2 linked regions of the Cricetulus griseus genome follow. Each later gene encodes a partner of the first gene's protein in a complex. Links are inferred from orthologs where the notes say so. Each region holds a gene or a part of one and is shown in the gene's direction. Other genes may lie near its edges.

Region 1 (5,668 bases):
TAGCAGCTGGGTCAGCTCTTGCTCAGTGGGTAGGCTTTAGGTGTGTGTGTGGTGTGGGTGGGGGGGGTTAGGGACGAAGAGGTCCTGGAGACCAAGAAGTCAGTTCTAAGGGAAATGTGGCAGGTAAAAGCGTGAGAAGGGTCAGGATAGTGACAGAGACTGTAGGAGGAAGATGCCAGAGAGGACAGTAAGAAGAGAAGTCAGAAGCAAAGACAAGAGTGCTGGGCCTGGATGACTTGAGGGACTGTAATGAGTTCAAGCCATCCTCCAAGCTCGCTGAAGAAAGCAGGTGGTGCCTTGGTCCTTGGAAGTCCAGGCTTCAGACCTGGAGCTATCAATGAAACTTGGAGTGGCTGAGTAAGTGAACCAGGAACAACATTATGAAAAAGAGTACTTTCTGCTTGGGGAAGGACAGAATTCTGCTCCCGGCACCCATGTCAGGGTGGCACACAGCTGCCTGCCACTCCAGCTTCAAGGGACTTAATACCCTTTTCTGGTCTCCTGTGGCACCCTCTTCCCACACATACACATAAACAAAGTAAAATATTTAAAAAAGAAAATAGACTTGCAGCCACTTAGCTATCCGGAGTGAGGACTTTGTTTGGGGTTGTCTTGGTGAGGGCTCTGTGCATGCTAACCATGCACGAGACTACTGAGTTACATGCCTAGACTCCAGCAGAGAGTCTCTAGAAACCAACTTTAGCGTGTGAATGGATCTGTTAGGTCAGCTGCAAGATTTGAGGATTAATAAAGGAAGGCTAGGGCAGGTGGTACAGTTCCATAATCCCACGCTGTAACCAAGGAGGTGGGTGTAGGAGGATCAGGACTTCCAGGGCAGCCTCAGCTAATATTGCAAGTCCAAGGCCAGCTTTCGCCACAGGAGACTGTCTCAAGAAAAGGGAAGAGACTCTGGACTAGGGGTGGAGCTCTGCGGTAGTGTTTGCCTATCACACTTGAGGGAGGCCTGGGGTTTCACTCCCCCTTCTCCTTGACCCTGAGTAAGTTTCCCAGGGCTCTATAACACGGAATCTCCAAAGAAAGGGTGTTTAAATACTTTAGCAAGGCATTTTAGGAAACCCTTGTAGCTAGGTGGTGCCACATATCTGTCATCTCAGGCTCTGGTAGGTGTAGGATCAGGAGCTCAAGGCTAGCCTTGGGTACATAGTGAACTTGAGGCCAGGTTGGGCTACATGAGACCTTGTCTAAAGAAGAAGAAGAAAAGGAAGGCGAGGGGCACTCTTGAGTTGAGCAGGAATTCAGCTTTCTCCACCAGCTATTACACAAGTAGTCCATGAGAACTTTCTCTTCCAACTTCCTGCAGGGGTCGCTGCTGCCTTAGGCAGGGGCTGCTACCTCTGGCCCCAGCCAATTTCTTCTAAGAAAACTGGCGGTCTTTGCCTGTGTACACTCACTCTGGACCTGTTTTCAACCAAGGGGGCTACAGGATGGCAGTGCTTAGCGAATGGCATTTGGTGGGGGTGGTATAATGGGCACTATTTTTTTTTTTCTGTTTCTGGGTCACAAGTTTATTAAAATAAAAGAAACTGTGGGTAAATGCTGCCATCTGTGCTGCCCCCCCAACACACACACACACACACACACACACACACACACACACACACACACACACACACACACACACACGCACGCACACACCAGGTCCCAGACTAGACAGAGGGATTGAAACTGTTTTATAGACACTCCTCGGACTTCACTGAAAAACCTAACTCGCATACCTAGTGCCTGCAGGTCTTTGCAACTCATTCCTCAGCATCTCTGCTCAGGATGGTGGGGTGGGCTGCTCCAGCGGGTGGAGGTGAAGACCCCTAAGTCTGTTCTGGGGTTGGGAGGCCCCCTAAGCCTGAGTCCCGCTGTGGGGCTCTGAGCCAAGAGCCCCCGTGAGTCGTGGCCTCTAAAGGGCAGTGGTGATTTTTTTCACATAAATATATCGCACTTAAATGAATTTAGACAGCATGACATCAGAGAGTAATTAAATTGGTTTGGGTTGGAATTCCGTTTCCAATTCCTGAGTTCAGGTTTGTAAAAGATTTTTCTGAGCACCTGCAGGTTTGTGTGTGTGTGTGTGTGTGTGTGTGTGTGTGTGTGTGTGTGTGTGTGTGTAAGTATTTTCACTGGAAAGGATTCAAAATTAGAGGGAAAAAAAAAAAAAAAACTGGAGCGCTCAGGCAGCATTACGCCATTCTTCCTTCTTGGAAAAATCCCTCAGCCTTATACAAGCCTCCTTCAAGCCCTCAGTCAGTTGTGCGGGAGAAAGGGGGCGGTCGGCTTTCTCCTTTCAAGAACGAGTTATTTTCAGCTGCTGACTGGAGACGGTGCACGTCTGGACACGGGAGCATTTCCACTATGGGACTGGATACAGACACACGCCCGGCGGACTTCAAGGCGCTCAGACTGAGGAGAAAGCCCTGCCTGCTGCTGCTACTGCTGCCGCCGCCGCTGCTCCTGAAGACCCACTCCTTTCATGGTTTTTCCTGCCAAGCCAGAGACACCTTCGCTGCCGCTGCCTTTCTCTGTGGTGTCAGTCAGCGGCTGGCCAGAGGATGAGACTCCCCAAACTCCTCACTTTTTTGCTTTGGCACCTGGCTTGGCTGGACCTGGAATTTATCCGCACTGTGTTGGGTGCCCCCGACTTAGGCCAGAGACCCCCAGGGGCCAGGCCAGGGTTGGCCAAAGCAGAGGCCAAGGAGAGGCCACCCCTGGCCCGGAACATCTTTAGGCCAGGGGGTCATAGCTATGGTGGGGGACCCACCAATGCTAGGGCAAAGGGAAGCTCTGGGCAGACACAGGCTAAGAAGGATGAACCCAGAAAGATACCCCCCAGATCCGGTGGGCCTGAAACCAAGCCAGGACCCCCTTCCCAGACTAGGCAGGCTGCAGCACGGACCGTATCCCCAAAAGGACAGCTTCCTGGGGGCAAAGCCTCCTCAAAAGCAGGATCTGCCCCCAGCTCCTTCCTGCTGAAGAAGACCAGGGATCCTGGGACCCCTCGAGAACCCAAGGAGCCGTTCCGCCCACCCCCCATCACACCCCATGAATACATGCTCTCGCTGTACAGGACGCTGTCCGATGCTGACAGAAAGGGACGCAACAGCAGCGTGAAGTTGGAGGCTGGCCTGGCCAACACCATCACCAGCTTTATTGACAAAGGGCAAGGTGAGGGGGTGGGGTGGCAGGGAGGGGCATTTGCACAGACCCAGGAGTTCCAAAGTCCTGGAGTTCGCAGGTGGGGAACAGTGTGTATATCCAGGCTAGGGTGGGAGTCTGGAACTTACACATACCAGGTCCAGGATTAGGGACGCCTAGGGATCACCAAGTTAAACTCCTGCGAGGTGCAAAATGGGCACTGAAGTGCAGAGAGGAGCTCAGATCTGGATGCTAGACTCCAAAGTCCACTCTTGATTACTGGGTCATACTTTTGTGGGGGTTGCAACGCTCAAGTTTGTACGCCCCAGCTTTTCCTCAGATAGCAGAGAGAAAGAGACTTTAGGTTCCTGTGGGTCTTCAGCTCTAACCTCAGGGAGGGGGCGAAGGGGTAGGATTTGGGAAGACCAAAAGCATGTCGTCTTGGAGTCGCAGCTGACCTAGGGACTAACTCACACTGTGACCCTAGAAGTCCCTTCTTCCCTGGGGTCTGTTTTCCTGTGTGTGTACTACATGCGCCTTGGACTAGGTGAAGTCTGAGCACTTTGAATGCCAAAGCCTTGAGTCCTATCCTAACCCATATGGCTCTCCTCTAACCTGGGAGAATACTTGTCTTCCCTGCTTCTCTGGAGGTCTGCCCACCTAGTGTTACTGGCTCAGCTCTTGCTCTCAACTTGCTGTGTGTTCCCAGCAAATCCCTTCCCTTCTCAGAGCCTCAGGTTCGCCACAGTGCGGAGCTGGCTGGACCGCTGGCAGTTGGTGAGGTGTCTTGCAGTTCAGTCTCAGGTTCACAGTCTTGGGACTTTGGCGGGCAGGGTGGGGGAGGGGCCAGAGAGTGGGAGAGCCTCCTCATTAGAGCTGGTCTGTAGGGGAATGACAGGGCGTGGGGGAGGTACAGAGGCAGCAGGTCTGGCAGAGGTGGGGGAGGTGGCCTGGCGTCGTGCCCAGCCAAGGAAAGCTGTGACCCCTCTAGGGCTCATAAAATAAGTCCTTGTGTCCCCCCCAGCACTAAGGGAGCTTGGGGAGGGGGAGATGGAGAGTTTAAAGGCCTAATTAGTTACCTTCTAGAGCAATATTTGAATATTCCCTAATGGCATATTGGCATTTAGGAAGGAGGGCATGCTGATTCAGAGATAATCACTGAGCTACACACACACACACACACACACACACACACACACACACACACACAGAGCCTTGTATTTTATACACATGGTAAACGAATCACAAACATGCATACATACATATATCATCATTTTTCAAGTACTCATTGAAGCCCAACTGTACTTGCATGTGCCAATAGCATATATATTACTTTATACTCACTCGGGAACCCAATTGCACACGCGAATGCGCGCGCGCGCGCGCGCGCACACACACACACACACACACACACACACACGAACCACACTCATGGACACAAAATTGTCAGACTGGAAACTAGGGAAGTTGAGTTGCAGATGGGCTTTGTTATTAATCTGCTGTGTTACCTACATCAATTTACTCCCCAACTCTGTGCCTTGCCCAGAACAAAAACGCTAAGGTCCTTCAGGTGGAGGAAGCTCGAAAGGAGTATTGAAGTTCTAGGCTACAGTTCTATTTCTACTTTCCCCCAGGTAGAGGACATTGAATGAGTCCCCTAACTTACTCTGAGCGGCAGGTTCCTCCTCTGGAAGAGTGGGTAGTTTAAATGCACATATCACCTGTCTTACGTATGGGAGATAATAATGTGCTCATGGGTGGGGCGGACACCGGTATACTGTTTGATGGCTCTCATACAGATCACGAATGGCGAGGGCACTGAGATCGTGCAAAGTGGCACACCTACCTTCATTTGGAAAAGGGCTCTTGGTGGTTTGGGTGTTGGCTTTGGCCATAGTGGGGAAGAGGTTAAAGGAATGTCTTTTGAGTGGGAGAGAGTTAGGTCCTCCCTGGAGGCTCCGAGGTGGCAGGCTAGACTATCTTGGTGAAGTGACAAGAATTGACTTCCGGCTGTTTTCTCCAGATGACCGAGGCCCTGTGGTCAGGAAGCAGAGGTACGTGTTTGACATCAGTGCTCTGGAGAAGGATGGGCTGTTGGGGGCTGAACTGCGGATCCTACGGAAGAAGCCCTTGGACATGGCCAAGCCAGCGGTCCCCAGTAGCGGGCGGGTTGCCCAGCTGAAGCTGTCCAGCTGCCCCAGCGGCCGGCAGCCGGCAGCCTTGCTGGATGTGCGCTCCGTGCCAGGCCTGGATGGATCTGGCTGGGAGGTGTTCGACATCTGGAAACTCTTCCGAAATTTTAAGAACTCAGCACAGCTGTGCCTGGAGCTGGAGGCCTGGGAACGGGGCCGGGCTGTGGACCTCCGCGGCCTGGGCTTTGAACGCGCTGCCCGACAAGTCCACGAGAAGGCCCTGTTCCTGGTGTTTGGTCGTACTAAGAAACGGGACCTGTTCTTTAATGAGATTAAGGCCCGCTCTGGCCAGGATGACAAGACTGTGTATGAATACCTGTTCAGCCAGCGGC
Region 2 (5,742 bases), on another chromosome or scaffold:
TCCTATACTCCCCGAGACCCAGAAGCTTAAGACTTTTGTATGTATTGATGAGGGGGAGGGAGGATTGTTGCATAAACTAGCATCATGGAAACGGTGGAGATGGGGTGGACAGCTGCAGAGATTCCAGCTGGACAGACAGAATAAGCCCTCCTCCCAAACAATTGTGTTCTCCGATTTCTCCTCCGGACAGCTGAGCCTTTCAGCTCCTGAAATACTCGGCAGAGACAGGGAGGGTCCATGAATGAGGCTTGCTGTCCACCTTCAAAGCCAGACACCACCACATACCATCGGTGGAAACTCAATGGGATACTCAGTATAGAGTAAATGAAAGACAGTCAACAGCTCCCTGCCATTCTTAAAGGCCAGGAGCTCATTACTGAGAATGCAGGAGGAGCAGAGTGGCCACGAAGAGAGAGAGCACACAAGCTGGAGTTGGATATCTGACTTGGCTGTCATGTTTCTTTACTCTCTCCCTCACTTGGTACCCAACATTCCATATTTCATCCATTCTGCTTATCGTCCTCACTGCCTTCACTCCCACACCCTACTGCCACCAACGCTCCTGGAATTTTGGACTTAGCTATTTTTAAAACTGTCAACTCAGTGGCCACCTCCCTCCTCCTCTCAGCTGTCGAGTCCTGGGGCCAGCCATTTACTCTCCCTTCCCCCTCTCTCCACACCAAACCTTCTCTGGCTCTCTGACCTCAGTAAGATTACAGCCAGTCTGGGGTACTGGGAGAGACATGGAGAAAGAGACGGGGGACCCCTGGTTGGAGCAGACCAACAGCATAGGCAACTATGGCTGGAGAGTCGGGTATCAGAGTCATGTTTGACCTCGGGAAACAGTAAGTCCAGATGAAACTGAAATTGCTTTGATAAGCGTTGGGTTGAGGCTAGAATTTCATAAAATTACAGACATCTGTTCTGAAAACTAGGATTTCTCCTTACCAATACCCCACCGCCACTCTTCCTGCCTCATTGTTTTGGTTTCCAAGCCATGTCTACTTGGAGTTTAATGCTGCCTCTTCTCCGGCCCTTATTTCCCTCTGCACTTTATTACACTGAGACTTTGGAGTGGGAGTTGGGGGATAATGCTGGGAACTGAACCCTTGAGCATGGTAAACACTCACCTATCACTGAGTTACACTCCCAGCCTCTAACTCAAGACCCCTTGCAGGACTCTTGCCCAATTATATATAGACTTACTCCAAAGAGTGGATTTTGGCAGGAGAAAGGGAGAGAGATCCTCCCCAATACCTGCCCCCCTTAAAAGACCAGGAACTTCAGGATTTGCAAAGGCTGGAGGGGGTGCACGGGGGATAATAGAAAGAGTTGTTCTTCAGGAAAAAAAATATTAATTTAAATGCTTGGTTTGTATCCTATGTGATGAGAGAGGGATCATAATGCCAGTCGTCTAGGGTGGCTAAGAGACTGATTCCCTTTTCACTGGAAAAATGACATTCTAGAAGGCACTTGTCTAAGATATTTACCCTTTGTGCCCTTCTAACACAATGAAGAAAAAGACATGGCAGGTGGCCGGCCTCTCGTGATTGGGAGTTACATATAAAAGGTATGTTTTTAAAGCATTTTCAGATCCCAAGGCTTCAGGAGAACCCGCTGAAATGATCAGGAACTCACTTTCCCCAGGAATCCCTCCATTTCTGACAAATCTGCTATTTGGTAGTCAGGATGAGGCAATACTGTGGACTCTGCCCACGGAGGTCATTCAACCTTCCCTCCACCCCCACCTAGGGGTATTGCACAAGGGACCTGAAGGTGGCCACAGGAGCAGGGCTCAGAGGCTCACTAGCCAAGCTCACCATCTGGAAGCCTCCTGCTTCCCAAGCTCCAGTCTGTATAATTGTTGTCTTGATCTCCCCAGATTCTCTCCACACCATCTTGACCCGTCTTCAACCCTTCTCTTTCCCCACACCCAGTCAAATTTCTTTTTCCAGTCACAGAACTGCCTGTCGAAATTCACTAGGTAGGAGGTTCATCAGCTGGGAAGAACCCGCGCCTGGGGGGATCTGGCTGGATAGGTATGGGGGATCGAGGCCAGCCTCTTAGTCCCTGGTTCCCCCATGGCGGTCCCCCAACTCTAAGCACCCTCATTCTACTGCTGCTCCTCTGTGGACAGGGTAAGGAAGGGTTAGGGAAGGGTTGGGCACCTCTAGATGGTAGGCTGCCGGGTAGGGGTGGGCATGCCAGCATCAGTGAGTGAGGGCGAAGGGGTGCTGAATCCCAGTCACTCTGAAAGAGGCCTGTCTTGTTTCCCCGTTTAACTGGAGGAAGGACACATATGGAGTCCTTGGACCGTAAGGGGGAAAGGTCCGACTGGATTACACGCTTTTTAGTAGAGAAAAAGAGGGAAGGAGGCGAGGAGGAGGGGGCTGAAGGTTGGGACTGGGAAAGCGCCCACTCTGGGTGCTAGGAAGAGCTGGGATGGAGGATGCCTTTTGGCAATTAGGCGCGTTCTGGACTTGGCTAGAACCTACGTCTGGGCACCGTCTCACTGTCCTCCTCTCCCTTCCGTCCTCAGCTCACTCCCAGTGCAAGATCCTCCGCTGCAATGCCGAGTACGTCTCGTCCACTCTGAGCCTTCGGGAAGGGGGCTCACCGGGTACGCAGCGTGGAGGCGGCCGTGGTGGGCTGGCCTCGGGTGGCTTGTGTCGCGCCCTGCGCTCCTATGCGCTCTGCACTCGGCGCACAGCCCGCACGTGCCGCGGGGACCTCGCCTTCCACTCAGCGGTGCACGGCATCGAGGACCTGATGATCCAGCACAACTGCTCTCGCCAGGGCCCCACGGCCCCGCCCCCGGCCCGGGGCCCCGCCCTTCCCGGAGCTGGCCCAGCACCCCCGACCCCAGACCCCTGTGACTACGAGGCCCGGTTTTCCCGGCTGCACGGTCGGGCCCCGGGCTTCTTGCATTGCGCCTCGTTCGGGGATCCCCACGTGCGCAGCTTCTACCACCACTTTCACACATGCCGCGTCCAAGGAGCTTGGCCCCTTCTGGATAACGACTTCCTTTTTGTTCAGGCCACCAGCTCCCCCGTGGCATCGGGGGCCAACGCTACCACCACCCGGAAGGTCAGGGATTCAATTTCCCTCCTAATCCACCTTCTGAAATCCTCTCCCGGTCCACCGGGCACACCACTCCTTGTTCTCACTCCTCAGCCACCAAGCTCCTGGTTCCTTGTCTTCCCCAAATAGTCCCGCCCATCTTGAATGGCTGCCTCTTATCAAACATTTGCCCCTGTAGATCAGTTCCTCTTGATGGGGATTTTATTTAAAATGCAGGTAACACTGAGGAAGAAGCTGGGGTGGCAGCCAGGCTATGAGAACTGAGGAGTCAGAAGGGACACTTTATTTTCCTGGCTGAGATTGAGAAAAAAAAAAAAAAAAGGAATGAGGGGTTGGATAGGGGTCAGGTATTACTGGAAGGCAATAGGGGACCGGATCAAGGGCCGTGGAGACACCCTGCGTCTGCTGGGATCAGATCCCTAACAATAAAAGCTGCTTGATTGAGGGAAAGATAAACTGAGTCCTAATAAACTATTTTCCTCTTTGCCCGCACAGATTACCATCATATTTAAGAACATGCAGGAATGCATTGACCAGAAAGTCTACCAGGCCGAGGTGGACAATCTTCCTGCAGCCTTTGAAGACGGTTCTATCAATGGAGGTGACCGACCTGGGGGCTCGAGTTTGTCCATTCAAACTGCTAACCCTGGGAGCCACGTGGAGATCCGAGCTGCCTATATTGGGACAACTATAATCATTCGACAGACAGCTGGACAGCTCTCCTTCTCCATCAGGGTAGCCGAGGACGTGGCGCGGGCCTTCTCCGCTGAGCAGGACCTACAGCTGTGTGTTGGCGGCTGCCCTCCCAGTCAGCGACTCTCTCGCTCAGAGCGCAGTCGCCGAGGGGCTATAGCCATCGACACTGCCAGAAGGCTGTGTAAGGAAGGGCTTCCCGTGGAAGACGCCTACTTCCAATCTTGCGTCTTTGATGTTTCAGTCTCTGGTGACCCTAACTTTACTGTGGCAGCTCAGACAGCTCTGGACGATGCCCGAGTCTTCTTGCCGGATTTAGAGAAATTGCATCTTTTCCCCTCAGATGCAGGGCCTCCTCTCTCCCCAGCTACCTTTCTAGTCCAGCTTCTTTCAGGCCTCTTTGTTCTGTGGCTTTGCGTTCAGTAAGTAGGCCAGCAACCCTGTGACTAGTTTGGGACTGATTTGAGGGTAGAGGTTGGCGTGAGAAAACATTAAGATGGACCAGAGGAAGCAGTGGGGACAGGGAGATAGCGGAGACAATGACACTCACCCAGAACCAGATGGGGCTACAGTCAGGGACGCCTTGATCCTAGAAGAAGAATTCTGGGTTTTGCATTCCAGACCGTGGTAGGAGCTCTTCACCGTGAGTTTCCGCAGTCCCATGGGTAGAAAGCTCATTACTCCACTCCACACATACCTGATATCACTCCTACAAATCTAGAGATTGTGAGAGTGCTTGTGAGCAGCAAATCATTAAAGGGCTGGGATTTCTTAAAGGCAAGAACTAAAAATAGGAAGATGTGATTATCTTTAAGAAAGTCCGAAGAGAAGAAAATAATTAAGTTTTGGGGTTCAGAAATTAAGCGGGCATTGTCTAGCTCTTAGACAAAGGAAGTCAGCTTTTGGAGACTAGTACCAATATAGAAACTGGCATCCCCACCCCTTACCGATCTGTTATTAAAGCTATGAATTCTCCACACTGTCCTCTGTCACCTGTGTTGAGTCCCTTTACGGATGTGTGACCTGGAATTCGGACAATGAAAGATATCTCAGAGTTATCAGCTATCCTATCTGCCCTTTTGGAGTCCCCAGGCTATTAGACAAAACTGGTTCACAGGAAGGAATCATGATTATTTTTATTATTAATTATCATTTGCTTTTATTTTTAATGGAGCCTCTCCAGACTACCCTTGAACTGCTGGTCTGACTATCTCTACTGTTCTTATGTCTCTAAGTGCAAGCAAGCCAGAAGAGGGCACCAGATCTTATTAAGGATGGTTGTGAACCACCATGTGTAAGCTGGGATTGAACTCAGGACCACTGGAAGAGAGCCCGTGCTCTTAACCACTGAGCCATCTCTCCAGAAAACAACCACCACCACCACCTTCTTTTTTTCTGTTTTTGTTTTTTTCAGACAGGGTTTTTCTGTGTAGCTTTAGAGTCTGTCCTAGAACTTGCTCTGTAGACCAGGCTGGCCTTGAACTCACAGAGATCTGTCTCTGCTGCGAGTAAAGGCGTGTGCCACCACTAACTGGCTACACTTTTCAGTTCTTACTATTTACATTGTGTGTGTGTGTGTGTGTGTGTGTGTGTGTACTTTGCCCACTGTTGTAACTTAACTTACAGTAGGGCATTTTTTGTTGTTGTTTTTGTTTTGTTTTGTGTTTATTTTTGTTCTGGGGGGGTTGAGGCAGTTTCTCTTGGCCTTGAAGGCTGTCCTGGAACTAGCTCTTGTAGACCAGGCTGGTCTCGAACTCACAGAGATCCACCTGCCTCCGCCTCCTGAGTACTGGGATTAAAGGCGTGCGCCACCCCACTCCCCACCCCCAGTATGGGCATTTTAATGTCATTTTATTTAGTTTTCTTTTTTACAGGGTCTTAAATAGGCAGAGCTGGGCCGAAACTTGCTGTGTAGACAAGGCTGATGCTCCTGCTTCCATCTCCCAAGTTTGGGGACTACAAGCCTGC

What was found. Proteins that work in one complex are often made in the same cells at the same time.
Region 2: the proteins of growth/differentiation factor 5 (region 1) and hemojuvelin are in contact, whole or in part, in a crystal structure (PDB 6Z3L), measured with the Homo sapiens proteins. The link is inferred for Cricetulus griseus from reciprocal best matches to the Homo sapiens genes GDF5 and HJV. Residues at the interface, in NP_000548.2 of Homo sapiens: Met412, Trp414, Trp417, Phe478, Asp480, Ser481, Lys488, Tyr490, Met493; in NP_001366281.1 of Homo sapiens: Arg95, Arg98, Gly99, Leu101, His104, Ser105, His108.

What each region holds. Positions count from the first base shown.
Region 1 is NC_048599.1:23,651,324-23,656,991, forward strand, and holds the start of growth/differentiation factor 5, read left to right. Parts: upstream 1-2,201; 5' UTR 2,202-2,561; coding exon 2,562-3,174; intron 3,175-5,167; coding exon 5,168-5,668. UniProt on the Homo sapiens protein: Growth factor involved in bone and cartilage formation. During cartilage development regulates differentiation of chondrogenic tissue through two pathways.
Region 2 is NW_023276806.1:59,965,796-59,971,537, reverse strand, and holds hemojuvelin, read left to right. Parts: upstream 1-2,041; coding exon 2,042-2,138; intron 2,139-2,539; coding exon 2,540-3,087; intron 3,088-3,576; coding exon 3,577-4,200; 3' UTR 4,201-4,354; downstream 4,355-5,742. UniProt on the Homo sapiens protein: Acts as a bone morphogenetic protein (BMP) coreceptor. Through enhancement of BMP signaling regulates hepcidin (HAMP) expression and regulates iron homeostasis.